Linked DNA regions of Oreochromis niloticus. The protein of the gene in region 2 purifies or fractionates together with the protein of the main gene of each other region. This does not show direct contact. Links are inferred from orthologs where the notes say so. Each region holds a gene or a part of one and is shown on either strand. Other genes may lie near its edges.

Region 1 (7,164 bases), on a different chromosome or scaffold from region 2:
CTCAGCTGCCTGATCAATGTTTTTCATTAGCAATTTAGCAAAGTTAATGGTGGTGGTGTGCATGTCAGTGTGAGTGAAAGACAGAGAGGGAGAGCAAGCAACAGATTTTGTGTTATAAGCCTCATGTTATGGACGCACAGTGTGAGCACTCAGGTCACATCAGAGCATCAGGCCGTATAATGTGATACCCTGCATCGTGACCTACGAACTTCTAACCCCTGCGAATCAATCGTACAGTTTGAGCAGGAGCTGAATAATGCGACTGAAAAAAATCGCACAGTGTATGCCCAGCTTTAGTCAGCCTCTTGGCAGCCTAACGGTTTTAAGAAAAAAATCAACCCACCAACAAGCAATAAAAGTTGACTCTAGTCAAAGGAGTTTGCAAAGAAAAGCGTCTGGACTTCTTTAAGTTGCTTGAAGACGTTTCACCTCTCATCCGAGAAGCTTCTTCAGTTCTCTGAAGAACTGAAGAAGCTTCTCTGAAGAACTGAAGAAGCTTCTCGGATGAGAGGTGAAACGTCTTCAAGCAACTTAAAGAAGTCCAGACGCTTTTCTTTGCAAACTCCTTTGACTACGATGACCTGGATGACTGAGAACCTTCACAGACAAAGTTGACTCTAGTTTCACATGAGAAGAAAGCTGGCAAAAAAGGCTATATCTGTAAAACCTTATTTATTTATTTTTCAGTATTTGTCACCAGTTTATGGGGCTGATATTGTGTTTCTCATCCACAGGCAAGTTTATCATGAGTGCCTCCACCGACACTTGTATCAACATCTGGGACCTGAAAGGAGAGCTGCTCGCCTCTATCAACACGAACCAGATAACCAATTCTTATGCTGCCATCTCCCCGTGTGGCAGGTCAGTCCCACTCCTCATTTATTGCACAGCTTACACTTGAAAGCTTAGAAATGATATACATCTACTCTGTAAGTTTATTGTTTTACTGTTTCATGACATTAAAACAGAAAAAGTGTCTATAGGCAAAGTTTTACAGTAAGAGCTGTAGGTTCTTCTGCTTTAAATTGTTATTGAGAAAAATAAAGGTTTGAAAAGTCATGTATTGAATCAACCTTTTTCCCACATGTAAGATGATTTCTTCATATTGTTTTTACTTTTAAATTCCATTCAGTAAAATAAAAATCTAAATAAAAATAAGTGTTTGAATTGCGTGTCACTCTTTGGGAGCTCTGATCGTGCTTCGTCTATTTGCTCAGGTTTGTCGCGTCCTGCGGCTTCACTCCTGATGTGAAGGTGTGGGAGGTTTGCTTTGGCAAAGGAGGAGACTTCAGAGAGGTGGTGCGAGCCTTTGACCTGAAGGGCCACTCTGCTGGAGTCCATGCATTTGCCTTTTCCAACGACTCTCGCAGGTAATACGCTGCAATATCTGAGATGGAAAATGAATGGTTGTTTATAAGCTGAGGCAGCATAAAAAAGCCTATAAACGTTAAGCTGAGGGTAAAGAAGCCTGCTGCTGCTAACACTGCTAATGTTGGCACACTGAGAAAACTAATCAGGACAATAGTCTGACAGGGAGGCACACATTTCAGTGCTATTTTAAAATGCATTCTAAGTATCTAAAATCATTGCTCTTAAATTCACACACAGTAATTGTATGTAGTCTAACTCCATTAATAGTGCTTGGTTTTGAGTGTTTTCCTCTCTTGGTTAATCAGCCAGGAGAGCATCTCTGTTAATTAATTAGCTTTAGAGGTGGTGGGTGCATGAGGGTCCTGTGTTAAGCTGTGTTAAGCTGTGTTAAGCAGTAATGCTTTCCTTTCATTTTTCAGGATGGTGAGCGTCTCCAAAGACGGCACGTGGAAGCTGTGGAACACGGACGTGGAGTACAAAAAGCAGCAGGATCCCTACCTCCTGAAAACCATTCCCTGCAGCTCGTCTGAAGGCAGCCGGGTGGCCTTGTCTCCAGACGGCCGGGTGGTGGCTGTCAGCGATGGCTGCAACGTGGCCATGTACGATGCTGCCAGCGGAAAGCTGGAGGAGGAGCTGCACGGCGTCCACAGCGTGGAGATCACGGACCTTAGATTTGACATTAACGGACGCTTCTTGGTGTGCAGTGGCGACAAGGCTATCCGAGTGTTTCACAACGCTCCGGGCTATCGGGCTGCCATCAAAGACATGCAGGACATGCTAAAGAAGGCTCAGAACGAGGCCATGAAGCAGAGACTGCAGCAGCAGATCAAAGAGGCTCAGAGTGCCCTGGACGCTGTGCTCGCTGCCCCCTCCAACTAAACAGAAATAACAGGAAATCACACTCTGAATGTGACAGTGTCAGACTCTGCTAATCATTTGTTTGCATAGTCACCTCTGCCTCTTAATGATCTGGACTGTGAAGATGAGATTTGCATGCAATTTAATAAAAGGTATCTTTTTATGGAAGTGCTTCGTTTGATTTGAGACATTTGGACTTCTGAGTGTGATGTGCTGTGATTGTGTTTGATTTGTCATAGTTTGTGAAATTGGTCTCATAGTTCTTCAGAGTCACTATGTGGAAAAAGGAACAGATTAACAGTCCCTTTAACATCTAATGGCCACTGTCGGTTTGGGTGCTTCATTTCCGAGTCCAGGTGTTGTCTGTGCTGACTCACTGTGAAACTTTGAACACAAACTAATGTTAATGTTATTAGTCACACCTTTGCTTTTCCTACTGTGGTAGGTCAAAATTTCTGCTGTGAAAAAACAAGTTAAAAGTAATATTTTCCCAGAGGGTGGCATTGAAGTAAAATTCCTTTTCTGCTTATTACATCCAAAGTAAATCTTTGGAAATCTCCTGTTTGAAATCCTTAAAGCTTTATCTAATGGTATTGCTATTGAGAGCTAAAAATTAGGCCTCAGTTGACACCTGTGCACTCTCACATGGGTGTACAATTCGGTGCAAATACCATAAGAGGATTTGACTTCAGAGCAGAACGTAAATTGTGAGGTGCCTTTCAAGTACAACCAACTAAAAGAAGTGTGAGTGAGATGTCTGGCATCTAGAAAACACAGGTGAAACCACGTCTTTGGATCTGTGAGAGTGATGAAAAAAAAAACTTCAAAGTCAGTCAAACTGGGGAAGAAAAACTAGCTTATTCCTCAGTCCATCCTAGCAGCCCACTGAAGGTGTATTTGATCCTCACAAACAGATATTTTATTCCAGAGTTGTAGCGGGGAAGTCTGGAGTGTCCTGTAATCCCCAGAAAGTCAAAGCATATCAAAATAATCCTCAGGATTTGCAGAATTTGTAACTTGTTTTGAATAAAGGCATATATTTGATTACAGTGTGCTCGTGTTTGAGGATTTGGGTATAAAATACGACCTTAGGTATCTTAATTAAATTGTGCAGTCTGGATTAATTTTTGTAGCTTTAATAGAAGACTTGATTTTTCTTATTGTCCCATGACAGACATCCTGAATCTCTGTGCCCTTTTTGGTATTTTTTTAAGAGTGTCAGAATGAATATTTTGTAAAACATCACCAAAAAATAAATAAATAATATTCCCTTAAACAACATTAATCAGTTATTTCCCAGTCTTTCAGACCAAGACATGGACTTGTTACATTAATCAGAAAAACTGGGTGATCCAGTGTAATGTGTGGCTTGAGTAGTTTATATAAAGAATTCTAAGTCATTTATAGGGTGGAGAACAGATTCAGAATACTTTATTGATCCCAGAGGGAAATTGTTTTGTTACTGACACTGAAAATATAAATATGAAAGACTGAAAATATAAAGTGCAAATTTTAAAAAGAGTAAAACAAAGACACACAAAGTGCAATGTTAAATTAAAATAAAAATGTTCAAATTCTAGTGAAAATGTAATGGATGGACAAATAAAGGCAAATCAAATGAAAAAAGTGTCACCATTTATTTTAACCATTTGGATGAAAGAAAACTTAAAACAAGGCTCATGGTAACAAAAACATGTTGTATGATATTAATTAAATGTAATTCAATAAATAAATGCATTGATATATTTTTATTATTTAGCATTATTATTATTTGAATATGTGGATATATATGCTCATTTTAACAACTCTTTTAACAATATTATATTATATTATATTATATTATATTACATTCCCTTCTGTGAATCGCTCAATAAAGTTTTTTTCTTTTTTTCTTCTTAAAAAAAACATGGCTGGTGAGTTGACCCGGATGTAGTTTCCGTGAGTGAGGCACGTGTTCCCCCTGCAGCAGCATGAGTAGAGGTGGTGGTGGCATTTCGAACAGATGTCTGTAGAGATGGTGGAGCTCTCAGTGAAGGCGGCGGAACCGCTCCGGCCCGCCGGTAACCTGCAGCAGAACCGGGTCTTCCTCGACTTCTTCTGGGACCTGGCCAAACCGGATCAAGAGGTCCGACTGAAGGCGGTGGAAAACCTGATACAGTACCTAAAAACCAACAACAAGGTGAGGCAGAGTGCGATCGATGACACTGAGAGACTCCCTGAACGGAGCGTGGTCCCGCTGCACATGTACTCCTCAGAAGTTTTCCACTAATATTTTTAGAAGTAGTAGTTGTACACATAGTGTCGTATGGAGAGGTGGGAGATGTTTTCATATGTAACTGATTATATGACTGGATATCATACAGGATATCATTGACACACTGAAGTATTTCAAGTATCAAGAATTTAATACTCATATAACAGAGTCAGGCCTATATTATTAACATAAGGCACTATTACCGTAACTACCTGTGTATAAGTACTTGATCAAAACTTGTTAAAATACCTTGTATACTTTATAAGAATCAAAACATCAAATAAAATTGCTTAATAATATAGTAAACTTTTTCTTACCGTACTGCAAGTAGAAATACTGTAAAGCACAGTAAAGTATTTTACTGTCAAGGGTCAAGGTTTAATTGCATGTTTACAGTGGAACTCCATTACCCGTAATGAAATCCTTGGAATCAGAGTTTTATCTGATTGTTGTTGGTCATTAAACTAAACCCAACACTTAAATAAAAAAATATTTATTAAAAAGTGCAATTATAAAAATGTCTGAGTGTAGTATGTAGTATTTCATGTATAAGTATATTCCAGGATATATATATGATTCCACATAGTGTTAAAGTGTCTGTAGTTTAAAAGTTTTAAACAGTCTTTCTTCATGTGTTGCAGGAGGATGAGTTGGAATACACCTTTAAAAGGCTGGTGGATGGACTGGCTCACACACGGGAGACTGCGAGACCTGGGTTCAGCCTCGCTCTGGGGCAGGTGAGTGGAGTTTATCCCCATCTATCTTTGTCTGCGGACCTGCCTCTGTGCACCCATCCACAGCTTCAGCCACATCTTTGTTTCAGGGTTGGGGTTAATAAACACAGTGCAGCAGTTCAACACTACTTTTAATAACAAAAATCCTCTTTATTTATCTTCATAAGTGATAAAATTCCTGGATGTGGCTTTTATGTGCTAAGAGATGGTTGTGAGACCTGCTATGATGTATAGTTTGGAGACTTCGACTGACAAAACGATAGGAAGCTGAGTTGGAGGTGGCAGAGCCAAAGATGCTAAAATTTTCACTGGGAGAGAGCAGGATGGGGAAGGTTAGAAATGAGTACATCAGAGGGACGGCTCAGGTTGAGCTTTTTGGAGAAAAAGTTAGAGAGGTGAGGCTGAGATGGTTTAGAGATGTAGAGAGGAAGGATAGCAGATGTTTAATACAGAGCTGCCAGCCAGGAGGAAAAGAGGAAGACCAGAGAGCAGGTTCATGAGGAAGGAAGACATTGCAGAGCGTTGGCACGACAGAGGAAGATGCTGGGGGATAGGGGGATGTTCAGATGATCTGCCGTGACGACCTTTAGTTGTCAAAGATGAAGATGAGGAGAAAGAGGCAAATGACAAAGTCACAGAAGCAGATGAAGAAGACAAAGAAGATAGAGACAAAGAGAGAGAAGCGATGATTTGTGTGTAAAAGACTTATACACACCTTTTTTTGGCACATTTTTGTATGTACAAAAGTGTCACTATAAGCTTTCTATAGCAATAGGTTATGACATCAGCATGTACACATATACCTAATAAAGTGGTCAAGATGTGTTGCCGTTACTCTTCATTAAAGAGCAAAATTCAAAAGTCTAAGGAGGACATGTGATCATGTTAAAAGCTAACCAGTCAGCTGTAAAGCCCAGCGTTATATTTATCTTAAATGAGGGTGGTAGCCAGAAGTTTCCAGGGTGTCATTACAATTTTGTTTTTCCCCTGTCAAACATGGATATACCTTCTCTCTACCTGTGCTTCAAAATCCTGAATGAATCATCCTGTGCTTTCTGCCTAGCATGGACAGTCTCCCTTTATTTGTGTATCGCCTTCTGTACAGCGTCATGCAATTTAAAGTGCTAGTTTTACCTTATTTTAAGATGAGTATTGAACTGAATATATTGGTCACATGGGTTTCGGAGTGTGTACAAAATGCTGTTTTGCTGCTAGTGTTAGGAAGGTGCTCTATAATAACTGAGCTAAGCAGTAAAGTTTCCTTTATTTTTAGGTCTTGAGTGCCTTTGAAGATGTCTCCCTGCAGAGTATACTCAACAGAATCAAAGAAAAGCACAACTTGCAAGGAGCTAAAAAGGTGAGTTTTGGGTGTTTGGTATCTTTTAGCACCAAAATCGATGAATGCAATCTTTGAACTTGTTTCATCTTTCGTCTTTCAGAAATTTGCCAGAAATGCTATGTTTGGAAACTTGTTTGGTGTTCTCGCCATTCATCAGTCCAACCGCCTCTCTAAGGTAAGTTTTCTCACATTTTTAGCATACTTGGAAAGGTTTTTGCTGCATTAAAGAGGAGAATGTGCCTGAGACAATATATTGAAGACGCCTGCAAATATTTAAGGGATAGTAATCATAGGGAAAGCAGGGGAAAAAAATGATCATGGTTGCATCACTTTCAGGTTTTTGTACGGTTGTAAATTTCACAAGAAATTTAAGATCCAGGGAACAGAGGAGATCCAGGACAGCTGATGCTCTATCAAATACGTTGTGGTCTCTGAGCTCTCTGTCTTGTTTCTGTGCAGGAGCCACAGGTGGTGTTGGGATGTGTGCAGCTCCTGCAGAGCCTCAGTCAGCACAAACAACACCTGAAGGACCTACCCACCAAGACCATGACGGACATCCTCTCTGAGGTGACAGCTGCAGACTAGTTACTGCTATAAAAATGGTCTTT
Region 2 (7,573 bases):
GCTTTAACCATGCCTGCTTTCTTTGCCTTGGTGGCTGCTGGAGCAGGAGTAGTGTCCATTTCCTCTTCAGAGTCTAAAAAGCAGAATCATTGCCAATGACGTGAATCTCACAGTAACTGTGGCCGAATTCAAATGCATTGAAAACGAGTATTACTGTGGGTCAGATAGTTCAAAAGGTGACATCATACGTGATCAGTATTAAGTCCCTTGTTGATCATCATACAGTGTTAACTATTTTCAAAGACAATGGCTCCTGTTAAAAACAAAAAAGAGAAATGCGAGGCTCAGTCTTACCATCATCGTCTTCATCATCATCTTCTTCAGATGACTCTTCTTTAGCAGGCTGAGCCTTTGCAGCCTTGGCAGCTGGCTTTGCTGGAGTAGCCTTCTTGGGGGGAGGGGCTTCCTCTTCTGACTCGTCATCATCATCGTCGTCGTCATCATCAGAGGACTCCTTTGCAGGCTGAGCCTTCACTGGGGGCTTTGCTGCAGGCTTAGCAGCTGGCTTGGCTGCCTTCTTGGGTGGTGGGGCCTCTTCTTCAGACTCATCTAGACAAGAAAAACACGAGCTTTCGTTTTAATTGCAGAAAATTTTCAACAAAACCTCTTCAGAGTTCAAAACAGGGCATTAGGTTGTAACAGCGATTGAGGATAGGACCGGCAGACAGTCAAATACACACCGGTACCGAAGACATAGCGCTGTCTTTGTTTTTCCTCCGTACATTACACACATGAGTACTAAACAACCACATGCATGCCAAGAAATGGAGGATGTTTTGGGACGCATTACATCATCAGATTGTTAGCACAAATGCTTGGATCAGATTAAAATGAAGCCATCAACAGTTTTGTTAAAAACACAGTACAACAGTAATTACTATCAGTCACACAATACCAAAAGCCTTACCATCCTCCTCATCATCATCGTCATCATCTGACTCCTCTGCTTTTGCAGCAGCTGCCTTAGCTGGTGCTTTTTTGGCTGGAGTTGCCTTTGCAGGTGTCTTCTTTGGTGGGGGGGCCTCCTCCTCTGATGATTCATCTATATATGATAAATAGCAAAATTGTCTTAGGCAATATTATGCTTACTTTAAGAATGATGTACAGTGTGAAGTTTTACCCTATTTATTTAGATCAAGAACGTATATTATAAATTTGGACAACACGACACATTCACCAGTTAAATGGAAACAGCAGCTTTCATAACTTCGAAGGTTTTCTTTCTAAAGACCATCTGTTTCACTGTTGTAACTAAAATGTCAAAAGCAACACATTTATAACTATTAAATGCATCAGGCATCGCTCAAAGTTCGAGGGACTCACTTTCTAACATTTGGATGATCCTTAAACACCAAAACACACACAATAGGTCAATCTCTATATATTAAAGCCCAATTGATTATGTGAGTTATGTGAAATATGAGTATCATTCAATTAGTTTCGTTTTGGTCCTTTATTACTTACCAGAATCATCATCTTCACTTTCTGCTTTTTTGGCAGGAGTGCCATTTCCAACAACTTTGGTGCCTTTGGCTGGTGTGGCTTTCTTCACCGCTTTAGGTGGTGGAGCCTGCAGTATTAAAAAAAAAAAAAAATACAAAAATAAAAACACTTAATACCACATTTTAAATATTTTTTTCTAGCCATAAAATACTTGAGTCAAAGTCTATGTACCTCTTCTTCCTCATCACTGCTGTCCTCTTCGCTGGATTCCTCCTCCACTTCTTTGGGGGGTGGAGGGGCCTTTTTCTTCTGAGCTGCTTGCTTATTTGCTGCCTTCAAAAGAAATCCCAAAATGCAAAAACTGTTATTACCAATGTTTTTAAAACCCAACAATAATGGAGCCTACAAGTAGCCAAGCATAGATTCCGGTAAAGAAGAGGGTCTAACAATCATGGCACCCGCTGCAGCATGTCCGCAAACATGAGGGGCTTTAGGCCACGTGGAATTCCACGGTTAAAATATAAAACAGGAGAGCCGTGCTGCTGGTACAATATTTAAATCATCAACGGCAAACGGTCACGTGAGTTTAAAATAAGCCACTCAAATTACACATGAGCTCGCCGATGGATTTTCTCGGTTTTGGTTGCTTGCCTCGTGTGTCACTCAGAGCAGGCGCAGAACCCACGTGGAGCTCTAGAGGTCGGTCAGCTAGCATGCTGGGTAATTTTACCATTTGCTGACAAGCATTAAAAAAAGAATTATATATATATAAACATATGCCGAACAGTTATCCAGAAAGTCCATTACATGACAGAAAGTGTTTAAGTGGGACAGTTTAAACTTAACACCGAGAACTACCATTATTTCCACAAAATGAAGGAAATTAGAATCAAGTCCGGGTATGAATACGCTAATGCTAGTTGTTAAGCTAGCCGCGTGCTCAAATTTTCGGTTTTTACAATAGTTTTCTAACAAATGTTGGTACAGGTTGGCAGGCTGGCTATAAATTGATTTTGTTTAAGTCTTTTTATACGCCATACTTAAATCGAGAGCGCGCACGAAATCCACACTAAGCAGCAGTTTAGCTTAGCAGGCCAGAGAGCCAAAAGCGAGGCACAAACATGGCTGATCGCAAACGAAAAAGGCGTAGTAAATGCGGCAACACCACCACCATGTTGATTAATTTAAAAAAAAAAAAAAAAAAAAAAAAAAAAAGAGGCGACAATCGCAGCTTTACCTGAGCGGACATTTTCTTTTTCCGCGAGTTCACCCCCCGTTTTTTAACAAACGCACCAACTTCTGCTTAAAGGCCTCGTGCGTAAACACAAGCCCTCTTTCTATCACAAACGCACGCACTATTTTAAAATAGAATGACGTAATCTTACCTTTGCTAACTTCACCATTGTGCTGTTGTGTGTTTCAATAAAACACGAGAAGCTGGACGTCTGAAGATGAATTTAAAAAAGAATAGCTAATGTATGCACGTGGACCTGCCTACTCGATGGGACATTGGACAGGAAAGACAGAGACGACGAAGACTCGCTCTGTACTCCCCTTCTTCGCGCGCTCTCGCCGACCCGCCCACATGACTGTCTCTACCAATCACAAGCTAATGTATTTGCGTCGTGCCCGCGCCTCACCCCACATACAGGAAACATTGAATTTTACTACTCCAAGGAAATACTGTATAACTATTCTCGTCTCACTATATCACTAAATACATGACAAAAATACTAGGCAGCACTGTCAAATCTACCGTGTTTAACCTTTAAAGTCAATGTTATGACAGTCTGTATTTAACATGAACATGTATTATTTACATTGTTATTATATCATTATTATTATTATCATGGTTTTGTTTTTAATATACGTATAGTTATAGATGTTTACAGTTAAAATGTTAAAGAAAACTATTTTCGGCAATTTCCCGGACTTAACGCTACATAAACCATATACAGCTTATTGTCACATATACCATACAGCTGTTTACATGGCCACGTGGTTCGGCACGGTTGCCAAACTATCAACCACGTGTAGTCCACCACGAGGTACACGCTACACAGTGAACAGTGATAGTTCCCAACTAGTATAGTATAGTATAATCTAAATACTTCAAAGTGGGGGTATACATAGTAGTTCAGTCCAGTTTTAGTACATGTATTTCATGTAACTGTATACATTTAAATAAAACTTAAAAATAAAAAAACCCCTCTATGCAGGGGTTTTCCATGCTCAGAGTTTGCCTTTGCATGGATGACTACACACAGGAAGGATGTAAGCAATAGGTGTTTGTTGCCTTTTTGGTAGATTTAAAATGATAATAATAATAATATTTAGGCTTTTTTTTCTGCAGTGAATGAACCTCTTTTTAATCGCCATTAAGTTACCACTTTTACATTGTAGATAATTTTAAATGTAAATATTCATACATTGTTTTTCTGTTGCACAATTGAATCCTGGAGCCAGCCGGCTGATTCCCAGGGCAACATGAAGAGCACGTTTGAGTAATTAACCCTCAACACCACACAGAGGCAGCATTGCATTTAACATCACTCGGTCTTACAGACTAGTCTCAGTGAATTACAGCTACCTTTGATTTGAGAAAGATAATGTAACTTTATTGGTCCCTTCTTCTTTGTAATAATAATGATAATAATGAAAATAATGATAATCTAACCATTCTCTCGAACTTCAATATCTTTTGTAGTCAGAAAGCTCACAGAGTAGCCATTGTTCTACCTGTCTACCTGTACAAAATGTTGCATTCTGTCCAACTTTTCCCCCTTTTCTTAGTCTTGCTGTGACATTCTGGACTTGTGATCACAACTGTAGTTGACTGTTATTACAGTCGTCCCACTGTTGGTGGTTTTAAAGCATATCAGTATAACTGAAAAAACTGTTTTTGTGTAAAAAACAAAACAAAAAAACAACAACAACAAAAGAAAAAGAGCTACTGAAATTGCCATATTGAGTTAACAAAGGTACATACAACTACACAGCAGTGTCTATGCTGAATTTGCAGAATGAACAGGTATGCCTCTTTGCAAAAACCCTCCTGTCACTCTGACTCTTGTCCAATTATTCACTGCTGTCTTTCAGCAACAATCATATGACCCCCTATGAGCAAGCGCTTTGGCAACAGTGGGAAGGAAAAACTAGCTTTTATCAGGAAGAAACCCCCAGTAGAACAATGCTCAAGGAGGGGCACCAATCTGCTGCGACCGGTTGAAGGTAAATGGATGAAGACAGGACAAAGACATGATGTGGAAAAGAGCCAGAGATTAATGATAATTGAATACAAAGATGTGTTTAAACACAGTGAGTGAAAAAGGTGACTGAAGAAGAAACATTCAGTGCATCATGGGAATCCCCCAGGAGCCTACACCTATTGCAGCATAACTAAGGGAGGATTCAGGGTCACCTGATTCACCTGATATGCTTTATCAAATGGAAAGTTTTAAGCCTAATCTTAAAAGTAGAGATAGTGTCTGTCTTCCAAATCCAAATTGGAAGCTGAAGAAGGGCCTGAAAGCTGAAGGCTCTGCCTCCCATTCTACCTTTAAATACTCTAGGAACAACAAGTAAACCAGCAGTCTGAGAGCGAAGAGCCCTAATGGGGTGATATGGTACTAAAAGAATACAAAATCACAAAGGAAAGATGCACAGAATTTCCCATTGTCTTTACAGCCCTTTCATTTTATTTCTTAGTAATGTTTTCCATGAAGGGGTATCCCTGGCTCCCTATGTTCAGGAAATGGGAAGATTCAATCCCTCTGCATCAATGCCACTTCATTAGTTATGTCTTTCCACTACAAGGTTGGACCGGAGCCCTTTTTGCTTTTAATTGTTCATGATATAGATTCAACAAGGTGCTGGAAACACTCTTCAGAGATTTTGGTCCATATTGACACGATAGCGTCACACAGTTGTTGCAGTTTGTCAGCATCACATCCATGATGTGAATTTTCCAATCCATCACATCCCAAATGTGTTCTACTGGGCTGAGATTTGGTGAATGCACAGGCTTTCTCAATACAATGAACTCATGTTGAGAAAAACAGATTTGGGTGATTTGAGCTTTGTGACTCGTTATCCTCTTAGAAGCATTCTTCAGAAGATGGTCATAAAGGGATGCACATGGTCAGCAACAATACACAGGTGGACACAAGGGGCCCAAAGTGTGCCAAGAAAATATCCCTCTCACCAGTGCATCAAGCTGAATCACTGATACAAAGTAGGATGGATGCATGCTTGCATGCCAGATTTTGATCCTACCATCCAAATGATGACCGATCAGACCAGTTTACATTTTTTCAGTCTGCCATTGTCCATTTTTGTTGAGCCTGTGTGAACTATAGCCTCAGTTTCCTGTTCTTACCTGACAAGAGTGGCAGCTTTTGCGGTCTTCTGCTGCTGTGGCACATCTTCTTCAAGGTTCAACATGTTGTGCATGCTCTTCTGCATACCTTAGTTGTAACAAATGTTTATTGGAGGTACTGTTGCCTTCCTGTCAGCTCAAAACAGTCTCCAATTCTGCCTTGATCCTTTGTAATCAAGAAGACATTTTCATCTAGAGAACTGCTGCTCACTGGATGTTTTTTTTTTTTAGAAACTTCTCTATAAACCCTAGAAATGGTTTTGTGGGATAACCCCAGCCGATCAACAGCCTCAGGGCCTGTTTTGTATGTGTGTGTGTTTAAAGTTGTGTTACTATGAATTTGACCATCCTACAGTCAATAATATAGGTTCACAAAAAAGAGACAAGCACATCTAATTTATAATTACAAATGTGTTTTCACAGTACACGTGCACTCTCGGTTTGCTTCTGTCAGTTGTACTTCTCTCCAGTTTGCAAATCGGTATCAACCTCAAAGTCAGCACACATTCACAACACTCACACCGTAAATATCATGTTTCATGGTATTAGAAAGGAAATCCTTGAAAAGACTTTTACATTGACTTTACTGTATTAATTAGCTTGTAAAGTGTTCTCTCTGTATTTTTCTGGCTCTCACCCCCTTTTGTGTAATTACACCATGAAATCTTTGAGCAATGGACCTTTTTAGAGTTTCACAACTGAGCACGATTTGTTATCTTTTTTATGCTTCTTTATTATAATCTGGGTGTGTTTGTTTTCCTTTTTAATATCGCGCGTATATGGCCTTTTCTCTATATGCTTGTCTTGTTTTAAGCCTTTTAGTTTGGAAACTACGAGATAAAAAAGCCATTTTGCTTATATATCATCTTTATATAATGTTAAAGTATGTTATTCCTGCAACAGTTTGGCTGTCTGTGCAGGATGTACCCTACGGTACATCCTGCGATCGTGGCTCAAGAGTTGGGAGTTCGCCTTGTAATCGGAAGGTTGCCGGTTCGAGCCCCAGCTTGGACAGTCTCGGTCGTTGTGTCCTTGGGCAAGACACTTCACCCGTTGCCTACTGGTGGTGGTCAGAGGGCCCGGTGGCGCCAGTGTCCGGCAGCCTCGCCTCTGTCAGTGCGCCCCAGGGTGGCTGTGGCTACAACGTAGCTTGCCATCACCAGTGTGTGAATGTGTGCGTGAATGGGTGAATGACTGGATATGTAAAGCGCTTTGGGGTCCTTAGGGACTAGTAAGGTGCTATATAAATACAGGCCATTTACCATTTACCATTTACTCCCCCCTCCCCATGATGAATTGGAGAAGCATAAGAGAATGGATGGATGGATAATTTTAAGGTGAATTTACTGCTTATTTTAAATAATATCGCTCTTAAATTTACCAACTGGTAACTGGATGTAATGTGCAACAGAATTAGAGGAACATTAGGAGGAAGTGGCTTTCTATCATCTTTTTAATTAGTGGTTTGGGATTACAGTGTTATTGCCTGAATTCTAAAGATCGCTTTAAGTCAAAATGTAAATTTTCAGTGTTTTCTTCTATTTGTGCAGCAAATTTGTGCAAGAGCTTTCAACAGTGTGGGTAGATCATGCTAGGTTGAATGCAGCAGTATAGATGCAGCACTCAACAAATCCTTATTGTTTCATATAAACATTTTATCTGATAACACAGAGTTTCAGATATTTGCTAATGTTTGAAACACTTTTTCAAAATCCAAGCAGCATAAAATCTTTAGTAAATGTTAAACTCTGG
Region 3 (7,560 bases), on a different chromosome or scaffold from region 2:
CCTACTTTTTTTAAAGAGGGTTCTGCTGAATGTTGAGAAAAGTTCAGCTTTTCAGCATACCAATCAACTAGCACTTCTTCAGTGACATGGAGAAAAAGAAGCTGCTCATGCACAAAGATCGTCGTGATGACTGATCAGCTTGATATACACAAACCGGTAGCTTAGCTCAGCGGTTCCCAACCTACGGGGCACAGACCAGTATCGGACCATGAGAGTTGAGGCTCGGGTGTGAAATTTATGGTTTTCAGGGTTTTTATCTGTTTTTATCGGTAACTCTGTTTCCCTGGGTCTTTTCCTGTGTGTTATGAATAAATGTTCTTTTTTTTTGGTACTGATACTCGTTTTATTTGTTGTATTTATCCGCGACACCTTAAAGGCCAGTCCGTGAAAATATTGTCGGACATAAAATAGTCTGTGGCGCAAAAAAGGTTGGGGACCACTGGCTTAGCTCATTAACTGCTATGTTAACTGCAGGCTACCTTGCCTTGTGAGGACTGGTTGTTGCTGCTATGACAATTACGGCAGCAAAGAAAAGCCGCTAAACACCAGACATTTGACTTATATCTCAATGTTTCTTCACAAAGCACGCCTGATTGGATGAATCTTCTTTCCCAAAAAATAAATCAATAACAAAAACATCTAACCTTCTGTTACACTGCCAAATAGTGATAGCCCCACCTCTGAACGATAGCTTGTTCAGAGGTGGGGCTAACACACTGATGATTCCTTGCTGGTTACTCACACATGTTGAGTTGGCGGATGAAAGAGGCCATGTTGTTGTGCTTGAAGAACTTTGGCAGAACTTCTTTGGAAAACCGCCCCTGGTCGAACACATGGAAACTGGTACCACTCTTATACAACAAGAGAAAGAAAAAAAGAAGAAGAATCTGTATTATTGTGGTGGCTGTGATTCAAGATGCAAAGCAGGTCATCTGTTAATCAGAAGGTTGGTGGTTTAATCCCTGGCTGCTCCATTCTGGATGGCAAAGTACCCTTGGGCAACATATTGAACCCTGAGCTCAGGGTCCTCTTTGATGCGTTCATTAGCTTGTGACTGTTAGACAGAAAGCACGCAGGTTGAAAAAAAGTGTATGAATGTGTGTGAATGAGACATGGGGTATAAAGCACTTTGAGTACTTGAGTATTAAGGAATGTATAAGAACCATTGCATTTACCTTATAATCAACTGATAAAAAGAGACTATATACGCTCTTACGCTCAGGAATCTCCAGGAACAGATCTGAAAATCAGAGCACACTGCTAACACTTTAATCTCAGCTGTCTGCTCTCCAGCAGACTGTTTCTGAGCAGCTCAAAATTTATTGATTATTTTAACACTTTCAGGGTTTTTTGCACCTGCACATCAGGCACTGATGTATAGATTACTGATTGGAACTCAGTAATCTATACATCAGTATAGATTAAACAGAACTGTCAGAACACACTGCAGATGAAAGTGAACTCTTTGTTTTTCTTCCATGGATCCAAATAAAGATATAAAGAGAAACCATTAATTTGGGGGACTTGTGATCCATATCCTGCCGTGGCAGCTTCATTTAAAGGAGGAGGTGAAGAACAAGAAAGTGTTTGTTGTTAAAGCAAAAGTAAGTGCTACATAGCTAGCTTAACCCTTTCATGCATGAATTATGACAACCTCAATCAGGATTTTTTTCTTAAGTATTTTTATTCATCTTTAGGCATGAAAAAAAGATCTTTGAACTTCATTTCTTAAACATGTATTTTTCAAATAGTTTTTTTACATGTCCACTTAGGTGGACATTTGGAGTGGGTGGCAGCCCATATGGAAAAGAAATAGAAAAAACTTTTTCCAATGCCAGTTGGCAGTTGTAAATAAATGTTGATTACTGCATCCGATAGCCCAGCAACTATCTGGCATTTTGGTTTCTAGTTAAACTAGAAGACGTTCAAAGGGAGGTGGAGAGAAAAGGACCGCAGTACTGTTTTTGCCCTCCAGGTGGGCGTGTCGCAGTAATGAAAACCATGGATTAAAGGTGCATTTTCCTTTTTAAACTACACTTGGAAATTACACTTCAGACACTTCTTTAATCTGGTGTTACATGACCTTCAGCTGTGGGTGGAGCCTAATAGTTATGCAATAAAAAAAAACAAATAAACAAACAAAAAAAAAAAATTAGGAAAATAAAGATGGAGACCTTTTGGTGATAAGTGACCGATTTCAGTGCAACCTGAAATTAACACCTGCAGCTGTACAAGGTGTGGGCTATGACACTACAGTGACATCATAGGCAGTCATCAGCTTATTTGAATTCAGGCTTTATGCCAACCTCCAAAACAGCTGCTGGAATCAGTTTGTCAGAAAAACAACTGTCAACTGATAATTTACCGACTAGCTGATGATGTCTGATATCGTTTGACCTCTGACGTGAGCTCTGTTAGCCTTAATAGCTCACTGAAGCTAAGCTAACTGAGCTGACCTCTTTTTTTTAGTCAGTAAATAAAGTTTGTCAACAAACTTGTCTACATTCCAGTTTAAATAAAGTTGTGTCTGTTTCTGCTGTGTAAATAAAATTAAACTTGTCTGCGTTAGCTGTTAGCTGTTATCGTGCGTACCGGACTCCAACAGATGAGCGGGTCGGTGTCCGGGTCCTCCACCAGGGTCCACAATTTGGTCAGGAAGGCCGGGACGTTCCCGCTGCTCAGCACCGCTCCCCCTCCTCCGGGATATTCCATCTGAGAGACAAAAATCGAGCACACACCTGAGCTAACGACGCTAACAGCTAGCTGCGTCAGAAAGAAAACAACGAACTACGACTCGGGTCCCCGATCTGACTCGGACCGCGCCGGTTTGGTCCCGCTGCTGAACTCAGAGCTCCCCGCGGGGCTGCAAACAGACGTGCCGAACTTTATTTCACTTAGAGCCGCGATAACTCCGCAAATCCGATAAAACACAACTGCGCAGATAGCTGCCCAGCGCGGTCTGATGGCGTAAGCACAATACGTAACCCTAACGTTCTGTCGCGCTGTGATGTGATGAGCAGTAAGGCGGATTTTATTTTTTATTTTAAGCTTCATTAGCAATTCAGACATTACAGATTTAAATGAGCAAAAGACAATGTCAGGGGTGGTCGTGTAATAACAATTAGACACCCCCCCACCACCACCGCACAAATACATCCTGCGATAAATTACAGGTAGTAATAAAATAAAATAAAATAAAATAAAATACACTAGTAACTCTTTTACGCTACGTTCATACCTACATGGGTATTTTTGAAAACGCAGCTGTTTCTATGCGTTTGGGCCTTTCGTCGGCACGTAAACGGCGTTTCGAATCACTGAAAACGGAGATTTTTTAAAACTCCGTTTTTGCGTTTACGTGTGGACGAGGAATACAGAGTTCATCACGCAACGTCAAAGGTATGTGCCTTTTTTCACATCACGGTGTGCGCCACGTTATTGTTTAGATGAGATGAATTGCAGAATGGCAGATAGTAAGATTAACAGTAACAGTATTTTGTCTCTATCTTCAGGTTTTACACACTTACATATACACACGCAGTTACTGTCCCTCCATTTAGAAAGGCAGAGGCGTCATGGTGTAATTATTTTACGTGTAGTTGTTTTTTTCCTGTGTAATAATATTCAACATTGCTATCAATACATTTTTCAAAAATGCCTCTCTGTGCAAAATGGGTTCAAAAACATAAACAGCTGTGGGATACTGTTTGTCCGTGATTTGGACAGGGGGAACAAACTGTGGCAGGATCAGCCTGATATTATTTGTATCCCACTGTAACTTTACTGTATAAAGAGCTAACATGTCCAAAATGTCAGGAGTAGTTAGTTATTACAAGAAGTGTTCCTGAACTAAAAATCAAGAATGTGGGATACTGTTTGTCCGTGATTTGGAGAGCCCAGCGCTGCTCCCGACGCAGGGAAAACCAATTCTGCAGGGGCCCGTTCTTCGTACCTCGCTAAGTAAGTTAGCCGGATTTGAATGTTGACGATTTCGCGTGATCTTGGATCGTTCGGTTCTCCGAAGCTCATCTGGGACTTGCTGTCATAGCAACAGATCCGTAAGAGTAAGCCTGCTCGGGAGCAGGTTTACTTTATGTAAACAGGATTAGATCGCGGCCACTCAGGTATGTCCGCTGCAGTTTTATGAAAGCAAGAGCGACATTTCTCCACTGTTTTACCATAAATAAATATTATCAATGTAACTAAAGATAATGCAGCATTTGATTCTTTTATTGATTGCATACAGATACATACAGGTCATTTCCGAAAAAAAGGGAAATGTACTATTAACCATTCTATTACATGTAGTAGATCATGTCAGATGTAATTCATATTTTAGAGTAGTAATAGTAAATTACTACGTGCAATCAAGATGACAGACCACGGCTAAAAAAGCGAAAGTGGATTTGGGAAGTCTGTCGCAGCCATGTCCTGTCCGTTTGTACGCGAGCAAGGAAGGTGCAAGATTGATAAGGAGAGTTTACAGAATTTAGCGTATATTGCGGGATAGACGGGATCCTTTAGCTCAGCGCGACGGTGTGCTCATAGAGAGATATCGATTCTCCCGTGAGGGTATTATTTACTTTCTTCCTCCCCCTTTCTCTCTCTCTCTCTCTCCCTCTATATATATATATATAGATATATATATATCTATATATATACTTACTCCCGACTTACTGTGCATGCTTCAGTCACCCCTTGCATGGGAACAGGTAAAAGTGATGGAGTGTTATTCAAACTACACACATAAAAACCCACAATGTCAATAAATGTCACAGTACAAAAAGGGGTGTGACGAGGGGGTGCAGGACCACCACCTGTCTTTATTTGCTCTGCCCTTTTCTTGGTTGCTGTTATAAACAAACAGATTATTCCAGGGTCTCTTGTCATAGACTAAAAGCAATATAAGTGATAAATATTACCATTCTGTAGAATATTCTTATATTTCACTTTTACTTTTTCCCATGTTCTAGTGGGTCCTGTTGTGGCTCTAATGTGAAAGAGGATATGATGTAATATAATATACTGTGGTATAATATAATATCACATGATATAATGTAATATCACGGATCACTTACGAGTTTAATTTGTCAGCAACTTTCTGCCAGCCCTCTCTCCTTGCTTTTGCAGCCTTTGCAGTGTTCCCCTGCGTTTTAATTAAACTCTGAAACTCCTGCTATCCCTCAATCAAGAGTTCTTGCTCTGCTGCCGTGAGATACTGCGCGCGCTCCTTCGACATCTTCGCCGACCAATCACAGGGTTGCCGATCAATGTTTCTACTATCGATGCGTAGCCCCTTTAAAGCCACCCAGTGATCTCAGATTACTTCAGCCAGCTATACTAATCGTCAACAACAGGTGCGTTCGGAGAACCGGATTAGCGAGCTCAAAGTTAGCGCGATGATTTGATCTTGGATGTGTCATTTGATCTTGGATGTAGTAAGCGAGGTACGAAGAACGGGCCCCTGGGGAGACCTACCTTTGTTTATTTTCATACCGCGCTCCCCCTGCAATGGCTCTGCGCCCCCCCTAGGGGGCGGGCCCCACACTTTGGGAACCTCTGGGCTAGGGTTTGAATCACAAGATACCAAACAAGGAGCATAAATTTATAGTTTTATTGCTTTTATATTATGGGAATGTTGTATAGTTTTAAAATATTGTCTGGTTTCATTTATGAAGCATTGAAAAGACGGTTTTGCATTAGAAATTTTGGATTTATGTATATGAAATTTTAAGATTAGTAAATTAATCAAATGAAATTTGTTTGCCCTATTTGCAGGGCAATCAAAAAAGCCAAACAATATTTTTCCGTAACAAAGATAAGATAAAAGAAACAACAAAAGCACAAACATCTTGCCAGAAAAGATTAGCGCATAAGTAGGACCAAAATAAGAGAGAAATATCTTTTTCTGACAGTGAAAAAATGAACAGTTAGCATCAATGTCTTTTTATATCGTACAAGTTCTGGTGGGTTAAAAACGATGAATATTTTATTTTAAAGATATTTCTTTTACTTTTTTGGTTAACAGGAATTTCAGTGGTATGGTCCAAATTTTCTTCCATTCCAGGTCCCAGTAGTTGGGTTGTTTTGGGAAAACAGATCTGTCTAACAGAGGTAACAGCAGGATCAGTGGTAGAGGGGTCAGATCATACACACACACACACACACACACATATATATATATATATATATATATATATATATATATATATATATATATATATATATATATATATACATATATATATATGTAGAGAGAGAGACAGAGAGCGACAGAGACAGAGAGACAGAGAGATAGATATCTAAGAAAGTAAAGCTCCATTTGGATTAAGAAGTTCCGCAACAAGATGAATCCCATGAACAAACCAGTCACCTATAAATAAAGATTTGTGTTTGTATAAAATGTCTCTGTCATTCCAAATATAGTATCTGCGCAGAGAAAAGTTGTGTTTATAAAGTAACAACCAGGAAAGACGCATCTGTTTATGAAAGTTGGACAGTTTTAAGGGGATTTTATCAATATTGTAAGTAAAACAAAGTTAAGATCGCCAATTTTTATTTTTTTTAAATTTGGAATAAAGTTCCAAATTGATGTTGGCTGATTTTTATTAATGAGGATACCAAGTAAGTGATGTACTCTGTCACTGGAATGCCAGCAATAGAGGGACTGGTACAGTTTCTGAGGGCAAGCAGTTCACAGTTACCGATCTTTAAGTGGAGTTCTGAAGCTACAGAAAAAGCATCAATTGTGTTAATGGCTATCTGCATCTGTGAAGCACTTTTTAAAAAGAGGGTGGTATCATCAGCAAGCTGACTAATGAATATTTCTTTTCTGCAATTCTAATGCCTTTCATGGGACTAAGTTTAATATAGTCAGAGAGGAGCTGAGCACAGATGAGAAACAGATATAGGGAGATGGGGCAGCCTTGCCTGATACTACGGTTCAACTTAAACCTAAAGGACGTACCTGTATGAAATTTGATGGAACAATTAGCATTTTTGTACATCGTTTTAATAACATTCTGAAAGTAAGGGCCAAAACCACATTTGTCCAAAGCCTGAAAAATAAAACTATGTTCAATAGTATTGAATGCTTTACAGAAATCTAAAAATAAGATAAAGCTATCAACCCTACAAAAATCTGCATAATCAAAGAGGTCAAGAACAAGTCTAATGTTGTTGGATATGTATCTGTTAGCCATAAAGCCAGTCTGAGTTTCATCAGTAATATAATTCAAAACAGCTTTCAGTCTTTTGGCAAAGATCTGAGCTAGGATCTTATACTCATTGTTAAGAAGGCAGATCGGCCTCCAGTTGTCAAAATAAACAGGATCCTTCTTTGGGTCTTTGGATCAGTGTGAACAGACCGTCTGATAAAGTGGTGGGTTGGACAGACTGATTTATGAGACTTTCAGTGTACACATTGAGTAAATGGGCCCAGTTGATCTGCAAAAGTAATGTAGAATTCAGAGGTTAATTCATCTGTTTCTGGGGAATTACTAAGTTTAAGACGTTGAATAGCAGGTAGAACTTCACCAACAGATATTGGCCTATCGCAGA
Region 4 (7,752 bases), on a different chromosome or scaffold from region 2:
CACGTTTGTAGACGAGCTCGCGCACAGACTTCAGGTTGGGGTATCTAGGGGGGGAAAAAAAAGCAAAGGTCACAGCTTATGAAAGGAGCACAAATCAATGATATTTACGTGTGTTAATTTATAAAGAAATAGGATTAGAAAAGTTTAATTTAAGAGGCATTTACAAAATATTAAATTATGAACCCCAAAACATTAAGAGCTCAGATTTCATCTCTCCAAACCTGGCACTTTCATTAGCAAAAAAGATTATATACATCATTGTTTTGGGGAAGAAGCATGATCTACAATCTGAATGGCAATTCTCCCCAAGATTTAGTCAAACTCATTGGATTAATGCTACAGATTGCCTGGATACTAAACCTGACAGTTCAAATTTAGGCTCAAGACTCAACTGACCAATCTGAGGATCCTGTTTTAATCTAATTGGTATGATTGAATGGTAGCAATTCAAATTTCTGCAGCTTTGATGCTTCTTTCAGGACATGTGTAATGCATCTATAGGGTTGTTCTGTGTTATAAACAATCCTGCTTTGCTAAGATCTTATGAAGGAAAAAGTTTAGTTTTAAATATTAAATCTGCACAATACCTCCCAAATGCAGATGTGCCAAGTTAATACAGTCAACAACATGCAAAAAATCTTAAGTCTACAGTTAAATACAAAGGCATTACACAGTGGCAGATGATGGTGTTTCTTGACTCCGTCATAGTATAAAGAAATATTAGTAACCTAGTACAACATTGGGAACAATATTGCATCTACCAATACAGATCAAGTTATCTGCATCAAAAGTGTCACTTAGACACATCCAAACAAGACTGACATAAATGACCGGATAGGAAGTAACCCTAACCAACTACATAAATATCAAAAATGGAAGTCTTAAGGTGACCAAAAAGCAAACACTACAAGTCTAACCTACACTTCACTCCTGTGCCAAGTTACAACCACACTTCCACAGGGCTGTTGTAGTGAAGATCAGGTAAATTCTTCCATTACAGCACCACACAGTAATGTCAAACACACAGAGCACAAAACATTTCCATTGGGTCTTTAACATCAAGACATTAAAGCTTTGTGAAATATAGCCAAGCATTTACTGCGTTTAGTTTGACACTGGCTTATTTTTATATAAACTGTTTAACAGTACTTTAATGTGTTGATTTCAAGTGTCAGTGAATGACCACTGTAGTAAATGCCAGGTTACAAAAGTTTCTGGCTGCATTATTACAGTATGAAGCCAACACACTCACATTTGTCAACACACTGGCACGTACCACTATGGAATGTGGTTTCAGACAAAACTGGCTTAGTTTCAGTCAGTAATCACCATGGTCGATATGATGGGGAAAAAAGTTCAGCATCATTAACCACATTCCAAGTGTATCACCTATTTAGAGACGTGCCAATACCCCCTGACCATCGCTTCTTATTTCTGAACAGCAGGTTTCAGAGTGACACAGTCCTTACCCCCAAGCGATGTAAGGCTCTGCAATTCTGAGCATGTTGATTGATGCCTTGTTCAGCTTGACAAAGACACCGTTGAAGATCTGGCGCAGACGGAGCAGCTGCAGAACTTTGCGGACCTTGGGGCTCACGCCGTTGATGCTGAAGAAAAAAACAAACAAACAACAACCAACCATTGTGATTACTGTTTGGACTTACCATCAAGGTACAACTTCCTAATTAAGCTACTTAGAGTGGTTTCAGAACATTATTGGCTTTTTATTACAAATGTGTATCAGCAGAGTCGATAAGTCGGGGAAAGAGCATGCATCATTAACCACTCAACTGTATTTATCCACACAGACTGGCTTAGTCATTCAATAAAAATGACTTCTCAATAGCAACTGAATTAACAAGCAACTGAGCAGCTAAACACAAAGTAGTAATGTATGAGGCTCAGCAGTTGGACATCCTCTCATGTGGCACTGCCTGCACAACACCTTGCAACTGATTGTGCAGTTCTTTTAAGCCAGACACAGAGGAATCCCAAGCAGTGCGCATCACTCACCCTCTGATCCTGATGACAAAGGCCAGTTTGGGCTCAGCTGGCACATAGAAGTTTCCCACTTTGCGAGCCATACGGCCCATTCGTATCTCACGCCTGTACATCTGCCTGTACTCCTTGTGGTACTTCTCAGCCCTCTTGTAGATCAGTTTCCTGGTCACCTTGCGGACCTGAATGCAAAAGGGAAAACACGTTGAAGCAGTTCAAAACACTATCCGACATCTCCATCCATACGGGAATACTGTCTGCACAAAGCTTCACTTTACCTTTTTCTCAGCCAGCAGCTTCTTGACACGCATGGCCTTCATGGCCGCGTAGGCCTTTCGCCTTTTCAAAAGGCTCTCAGGGACCGCCGGAACCTTTTTTCTGTTTAAACGTTAACAAAAAGATGCTGTAAGGAAAAAATTCGAAGCGAGATGGTGGACAAGATACCTGAACACATGTACATCGCTCAACTGAAACGAGCGATGACTGAATCATGGGGGCTGCTAGCTTGCCAGTCTGTCACTTGCCGGCTTCCACACAGGTAAATACTACTTCATACAATAGCTTTCAAGACTAGAGAGGTTTTACAGCAGCATGAACTCAAAGGTTGCTGAAATAGCTGACTATTATTTTAGTACTATTTTTTTAACCATAAGAACTGGACACTTGTAAAATCCACAGATGCTAAAGAGACAGCCATGTTGAACTCAGCTATATGGACTCAGTTATTATAAAGTAACCCTAACAACAGTAATAATCACCATCTGTAACAATACTGCTATTATTCTATCGTACATTAACTAAATAGCTTATTCGCGTTGTAAAATTAACACCAGATGCTAGTTTAATGCTGGATGTGATTAGATTTTAACACAGAGGGAAACACTCACTCTGCGTCCGCCATTGCGATCACCGAGAAAGAGACTTTTTCATTTGCGCATGTGCGGGTTAAAAGCGTTAGGACCTCTGCGGAGCGTCCTTCCGACTGCCTGATGGATAAATTCTAGCGATGTATTCAAAACTAAAGTTACGCAAAACCCACTGAAATAATTCTCTTGGTTAAATGCTCCCTTAAATTTATCGGTTAATATATCAACAACTATTTTCTATGGCTACCGCAAGGAATATTATTGTAATAACAAACGCTTTAAAGGTAAGACGACGCTATAATACGTATTCTGATGTAGACCTACCTGGCCTTATTTTTAATACATTATTTTATATTGTTTCTTTTTTTCTTTTCGTTTTTTTTTAAATTAATCTAAACGCTACTTTGCCCGACTTCCGTGCTACAGGTGGCGTTATGCAGCCATCTGACCAGCAGAGGGCGCAAACACTTCATTTTGCAAAGCACGATCAGAGAGCGCCTGTAGCGTTGAAACTCCCGCCCAGCACTTTGCTTCAGGCTGTATAACAGACCCTGTCCCAGGAGGTTATGAAAAAAAATCATAAAAAGATATAGACTCGATTGAAGGCCACTTATTTGTTGATTTATTTATTTTTATTTTACAGGCAAAATGCAAGACACAAGTTTTAATTTAATGGTGAAACGTCGCCTAAATAGAGCTTTGCCATTGGTCAGCTTCTCAATTTGACCGTTCCAGTGCAGGTAGTTTTATATTAAAAATGTTGCCTTGTATTAAACGAGCCAGCGTTAAAGCCCATCAATCATTTAATACTCTTGAAAAAGCAGAGTGCTTTATTTATCTGTAATTTTCTTGGCTTTTTGGGCACATTGTTACATTTGGAGAGAACATTTCCCCGGAGGTGTTTTTCACGTATTTGTTTTATCCTTAGAATCTACAAAGGATTCTTCCATCAGCTGTTTGTTCCTCAGACACGCCCACAAAACAAGCACAGCACAAGTGAGAGGCTGCTGGCAAAGGTTGCACAACCTGGAAGAGGTGTAAACAATAGCCTAAGGTGTGGGGGGAGCTGCAAAGCGGCAATGAACGTGTTCACAATGGAGACGATTCGTGTGCGCCTGTTTTGTATATTATCATTATAATTGAAGGGTAATTAGGCTATATTAATTAGGAAGAAACGTGATCGCGTAACGATTTGCGCGTGGAAGTATCACTTTTCTGGCCGGGTGCGTGGCTTACCTAACCGACCGACTTCACTTTCCTCCGTGGGGATCTCAGGGAATCATTGCAGGCAAAGCTGGGATATGTCTTGAGCTGGCTTATAACTTTAAGTGTAGTTTCTGTTTAACAGAAAAAATAACGTGTAACATATAATAATAACGTAAAGTGGGAATACTTTGTAAACAAGATATTTTAGTTTGCTCCACGTATGGCTGGACATTGACCTGGACTTGCAGGTCCAGTGCGGCCTGATCGGTGGCTCGTGGATTTCTGAGTTTAAGCTGTTAAGATTAATTATATCTTTAAATAACTTGCTATCAAACTTTACATTGTTAGGATTTTCCAAAAACGCGCAAACACGCACACAGAGACGCATAAATAAGCAACCTTTTCAAACAGGAGGGAAGCTTAATGTCTAATCTTCCTTGAGGATACAAAAAAGTCCGAGATTCGTGTTAAAATCTTTCAGGTTACATCACCTTCATTCTGACAGGCGCTCAAGTCCCCCTCCTATTGGGTCCAGCGTTGATGGCTGAACAGCATAAATAGCGCCTGAGGTGCGCTCCAGAGTGAGATGAGTGGAGAGGCAGCAGAGGAAGTAGGAGGCTCACTTGATAGTAGCTGCTCATAACTCACTGCAACTGTGCGTTATAGTGGCAACTGGACTCTTACCGAGCAGCATCTGAACTCGCACTCCACTCATACATCTGTCCTGCATGCGCCTAAGTTTCTTTCGCATTTTTTCTGTCTTTTAAACCATATTTCCATAGGCCGTTATTCCTGCCGGCACTGTGATCCAAGTTTGTCGGTGTTTCCCTGATCCTGTCTGCTGCAAACAGGTTGCAAGAAGGAAACAGTCCCCTGCGCCTCTTCCGCCGTTTATTTGAATTGATAGAAAGCTTTGGCCAAGATGATGATAATAATTGCGGAGTTCTTCGTAGTTATTCTGAAGGTGCTCTGGGCTTTTTTAACTGCCGGAGCCAAGTGGATTGTGCGGCCAAAGGAGAAAAGCGTGGCGGGACAGGTGTGCTTGATCACCGGCGCTGGAAGCGGCCTCGGGCGGCTGTTCGCCAAGGAGTTCGCCCGGAGACGAGCGATACTGGTCTTATGGGACATAAACAGCCAAAGCAACGAGGAGACGGCGGAGATGGTGCGCCAGATTTACCATGAACTGGACACTCCAGTAACCAAAGACGGTAAGAGTGTTTTCTTTGCAGCTTTAAGGCTGTCAGCCGGCTTTCTGAGCGGTCGAGTGTTATTTAAGGAACACACACTGCAGTCCTGATCAGTGTAAGAGTGAATAAACTAAAGTGTGTCAGAGGGAGTCAGTTAAACTGGACACAGCCTCAGGATTTCAAAAGTTTCATTTTAAATAACCAAACAGTGGAATGAGACTTCCATATGGAGACAGTAGATTTTTAAACCGTTTCACCTAATTTAGCTGTATTAACTTTCATAATCTTAATCAACCTACTAAACACACTTTCACTGATCATCTGTTGCTTTCCCTCTCTTTTATTTTCCCCCCTCTCTGCAGGACCTGTTGGAGGGGTAGAGGAAGTCCCACCTTTCCAGCCGCAGGTCTACACCTATGTGTGTGATGTAGGGAAGCGCGAGAGTGTGTATTCCACAGCGGAGAAGGTGCGTCGGGAGGTGGGAGAAGTGGACATACTCATCAACAACGCTGGCGTCGTCTCTGGCCATCACCTCCTGGAGTGTCCTGATGAGCTGATCGAGCGGACCATGGTGGTCAACTGTCACGCACACTTCTGGGTGAGCCGATGTAGAAGCTGTTGTAATAAGCCGACACTGAGGTTATTGTGAAGTTATAATGTGTGTGCCCAAGTTTCAGTGAGAACAGTGTTGCTGAATGTGTTAACTGTGATGCCAGGTTCACAGGAATGTCTCCACTCTGACTCGTATGCCTTTTCATAATCTTATCCTTCTCTGTGCCAAACTCAAGAATCAAAGGTGTGTGTGTGTGTGTGTGTGTGTGTGTGCCTCCAGGCCTAAGAAACTATGACCATAAATAGTTGCCTTGCATGTTCAGATTTCAGCTCCACTTGGTTTCATTCTGCCAGAGGAAAGTCACGGGTTTGGCTTTTTTAAATCTTTGCCTTTGCTCCGCTTTGGCAGCCACAGCCGATGATGATCCCAGAGGTATGTCAGCGGCTCCGTCTCATCTCCTCAGCTGCACAGATCTGCACAAACCGACTGTGCGTGATGGAAACGGGGTTCTGTACGTGGGTTGGATCTGTCTTAGATCAGCTCACCACATTTTGCTGGCAGTTGGTGATTTGTTGCATATCAGATTTTTACTCTGGCTCCGTTCCTCGAGCCTTTCAGTGTGACTACTTATCTGAGAGGCTACGTGGACTTGATGGAGTGAATATGCTGCGCTTTAGATAAGCATAAGCTGTAGCGTGTAACCAGTTAAGCGCTATCACAGGTTTTTTTGTGTGTCTGTGTGTTTTTGGGGTGTGGGAAGACTGTGGTTGCAGACTGCCAAAGCTATTAGAAATTTAATAAAGAGCTTTATTCATTTTAAAGATGGATGTTTACTCTTTTGGAGCCTTTAGACCAACCTTAATGAGAATTGATTGCATTTCTTCACTATAGCCACCCCCTGTGGAACAGCAGCAATGACTGTGTAAATTTGGCTTATAAGCTTTGTTTGGAGTAAACCGCATGGATTGAGAATAAGTCTTTCACCTGGCAGACTGGTTCTGAATTCACCACTTCATGCGTGAATTTAGTTGTCACAACATATTGTCAAGTGATCCAGAATATCTTCATTTTTCAGGCTTTGGCCCCAGGCTCTTATCTTTTTATTTTATTTGTTGTTTACAGAGAACGGCATTCTCAGTCATGCCATGAAACCACAGTAACTTCAAGCTTCCTAATCGAGCATGAAAAATCTCTTGTGGCATCGCTCACGCAGGTTGTGCGGATTTCCTCTTTAATGGATGCCCCATTCAAGCATTCATCTGCTGGATATCTCAGTGCTCTTTAAATCCAGGATTTGGAGTCAGGGTCCAGTGATTTGGTAGTAGAGTTTTGTTTTTTAAATAGATGTTTGTGTTTTCCTGTATTCCATGGTGAGCGTGGTTTCTTTAGAGGTGTGTGTGTGCGGAGGGGGGAGCAGATGAAAGAAGGACTTAATGAATGGTGACAGCCAGAATGGAGGATGTGGTTCATTAATGACACAAGCTAGATGAATAGAGATTAAACTAACAGAGGCACTGTCCACTTTCCTTTCAAACTCACTGCAGTTAGTCACTGCATGCAGGTGGCAGGTATTACAGAATCCTTTTGATTTTTTTTTCTCCCCCTTTTTTTTCTGAACAACAGGTACCTCCAACGGCTTACTTGTGGTTTTTGACTCAACAAATAACTTCAGTTTAGGTCCGCGTCATGAAAGGCTTTTAGGCCGGCTTTAAAAACCTGTTAATGCACATGTTTTCACAAAATGCTATCCCTAAAGGCATGTTATAGGAGAATTTGTATTTGAAAAGTGCAAGAACAGCTATTCAGATCAGTTTACAGAAGCAGGTTTCCAAGTGTGCTTGCCATTTTTTTTTTTTTTTTTTTCATACTGATAAGCTTCTCTTTTTCTTTTTTTTAATATATTTTGATGTCTCAGCAGTGCGCGTAAAAAGGTCTGGTGTGT

The links.
Region 1: the proteins of ncl (region 2) and mybbp1a purify together in Homo sapiens (affinity purification with mass spectrometry; 3 studies listed by BioGRID and IntAct, with this or other methods). This does not show direct contact. The link is inferred for Oreochromis niloticus from reciprocal best matches to the Homo sapiens genes NCL and MYBBP1A.
Region 3: the proteins of ncl (region 2) and hsf1 purify together in Homo sapiens (affinity purification with mass spectrometry; 3 studies listed by BioGRID, with this or other methods). This does not show direct contact. The link is inferred for Oreochromis niloticus from reciprocal best matches to the Homo sapiens genes NCL and HSF1.
Region 4: the proteins of ncl (region 2) and rpl7 fractionate together in Homo sapiens (co-fractionation; 3 studies listed by BioGRID, with this or other methods). This does not show direct contact. The link is inferred for Oreochromis niloticus from reciprocal best matches to the Homo sapiens genes NCL and RPL7.

The regions. Positions count from the first base shown.
Region 1 is NC_031975.2:24,293,248-24,300,411, reverse strand, and holds the start of mybbp1a (myb-binding protein 1A-like protein), read left to right. Parts: upstream 1-4,156; 5' UTR 4,157-4,231; coding exon 4,232-4,408; intron 4,409-5,124; coding exon 5,125-5,220; intron 5,221-6,490; coding exon 6,491-6,574; intron 6,575-6,656; coding exon 6,657-6,731; intron 6,732-7,015; coding exon 7,016-7,123; intron 7,124-7,164. Other genes in the region: tbl2 (transducin beta-like protein 2), read left to right, coding at 735-861, 1,218-1,370, 1,791-2,250. UniProt on the Homo sapiens protein: May activate or repress transcription via interactions with sequence specific DNA-binding proteins. Repression may be mediated at least in part by histone deacetylase activity (HDAC activity).
Region 2 is NC_031980.2:34,363,369-34,370,941, reverse strand, and holds the start of ncl (nucleolin), read right to left. Parts: upstream 3,015-7,573; 5' UTR 2,847-3,014; coding exon 2,829-2,846; intron 1,777-2,828; coding exon 1,675-1,776; intron 1,571-1,674; coding exon 1,465-1,570; intron 1,043-1,464; coding exon 908-1,042; intron 772-907; exon of another isoform or gene 632-771; intron 550-631; coding exon 295-549; intron 74-294; coding exon 1-73. UniProt on the Homo sapiens protein: Nucleolin is the major nucleolar protein of growing eukaryotic cells. It is found associated with intranucleolar chromatin and pre-ribosomal particles. It induces chromatin decondensation by binding to histone H1.
Region 3 is NC_031985.2:36,095,762-36,103,321, forward strand, and holds the start of hsf1 (heat shock factor protein 1), read right to left. Parts: upstream 3,001-7,560; 5' UTR 2,713-3,000; coding exon 2,593-2,712; intron 852-2,592; coding exon 743-851; intron 1-742. UniProt on the Homo sapiens protein: Functions as a stress-inducible and DNA-binding transcription factor that plays a central role in the transcriptional activation of the heat shock response (HSR), leading to the expression of a large class of molecular chaperones, heat shock proteins (HSPs), that protect cells from cellular insult damage.
Region 4 is NC_031974.2:20,236,384-20,244,135, forward strand, and holds the start of rpl7 (large ribosomal subunit protein uL30), read right to left. Parts: upstream 3,022-7,752; 5' UTR 2,900-3,021; coding exon 2,886-2,899; intron 2,377-2,885; coding exon 2,277-2,376; intron 2,181-2,276; coding exon 2,014-2,180; intron 1,608-2,013; coding exon 1,470-1,607; intron 1,377-1,469; exon of another isoform or gene 1,285-1,376; intron 45-1,284; coding exon 1-44. Other genes in the region: rdh10a (retinol dehydrogenase 10-A), read left to right, coding at 4,993-5,278, 5,620-5,855.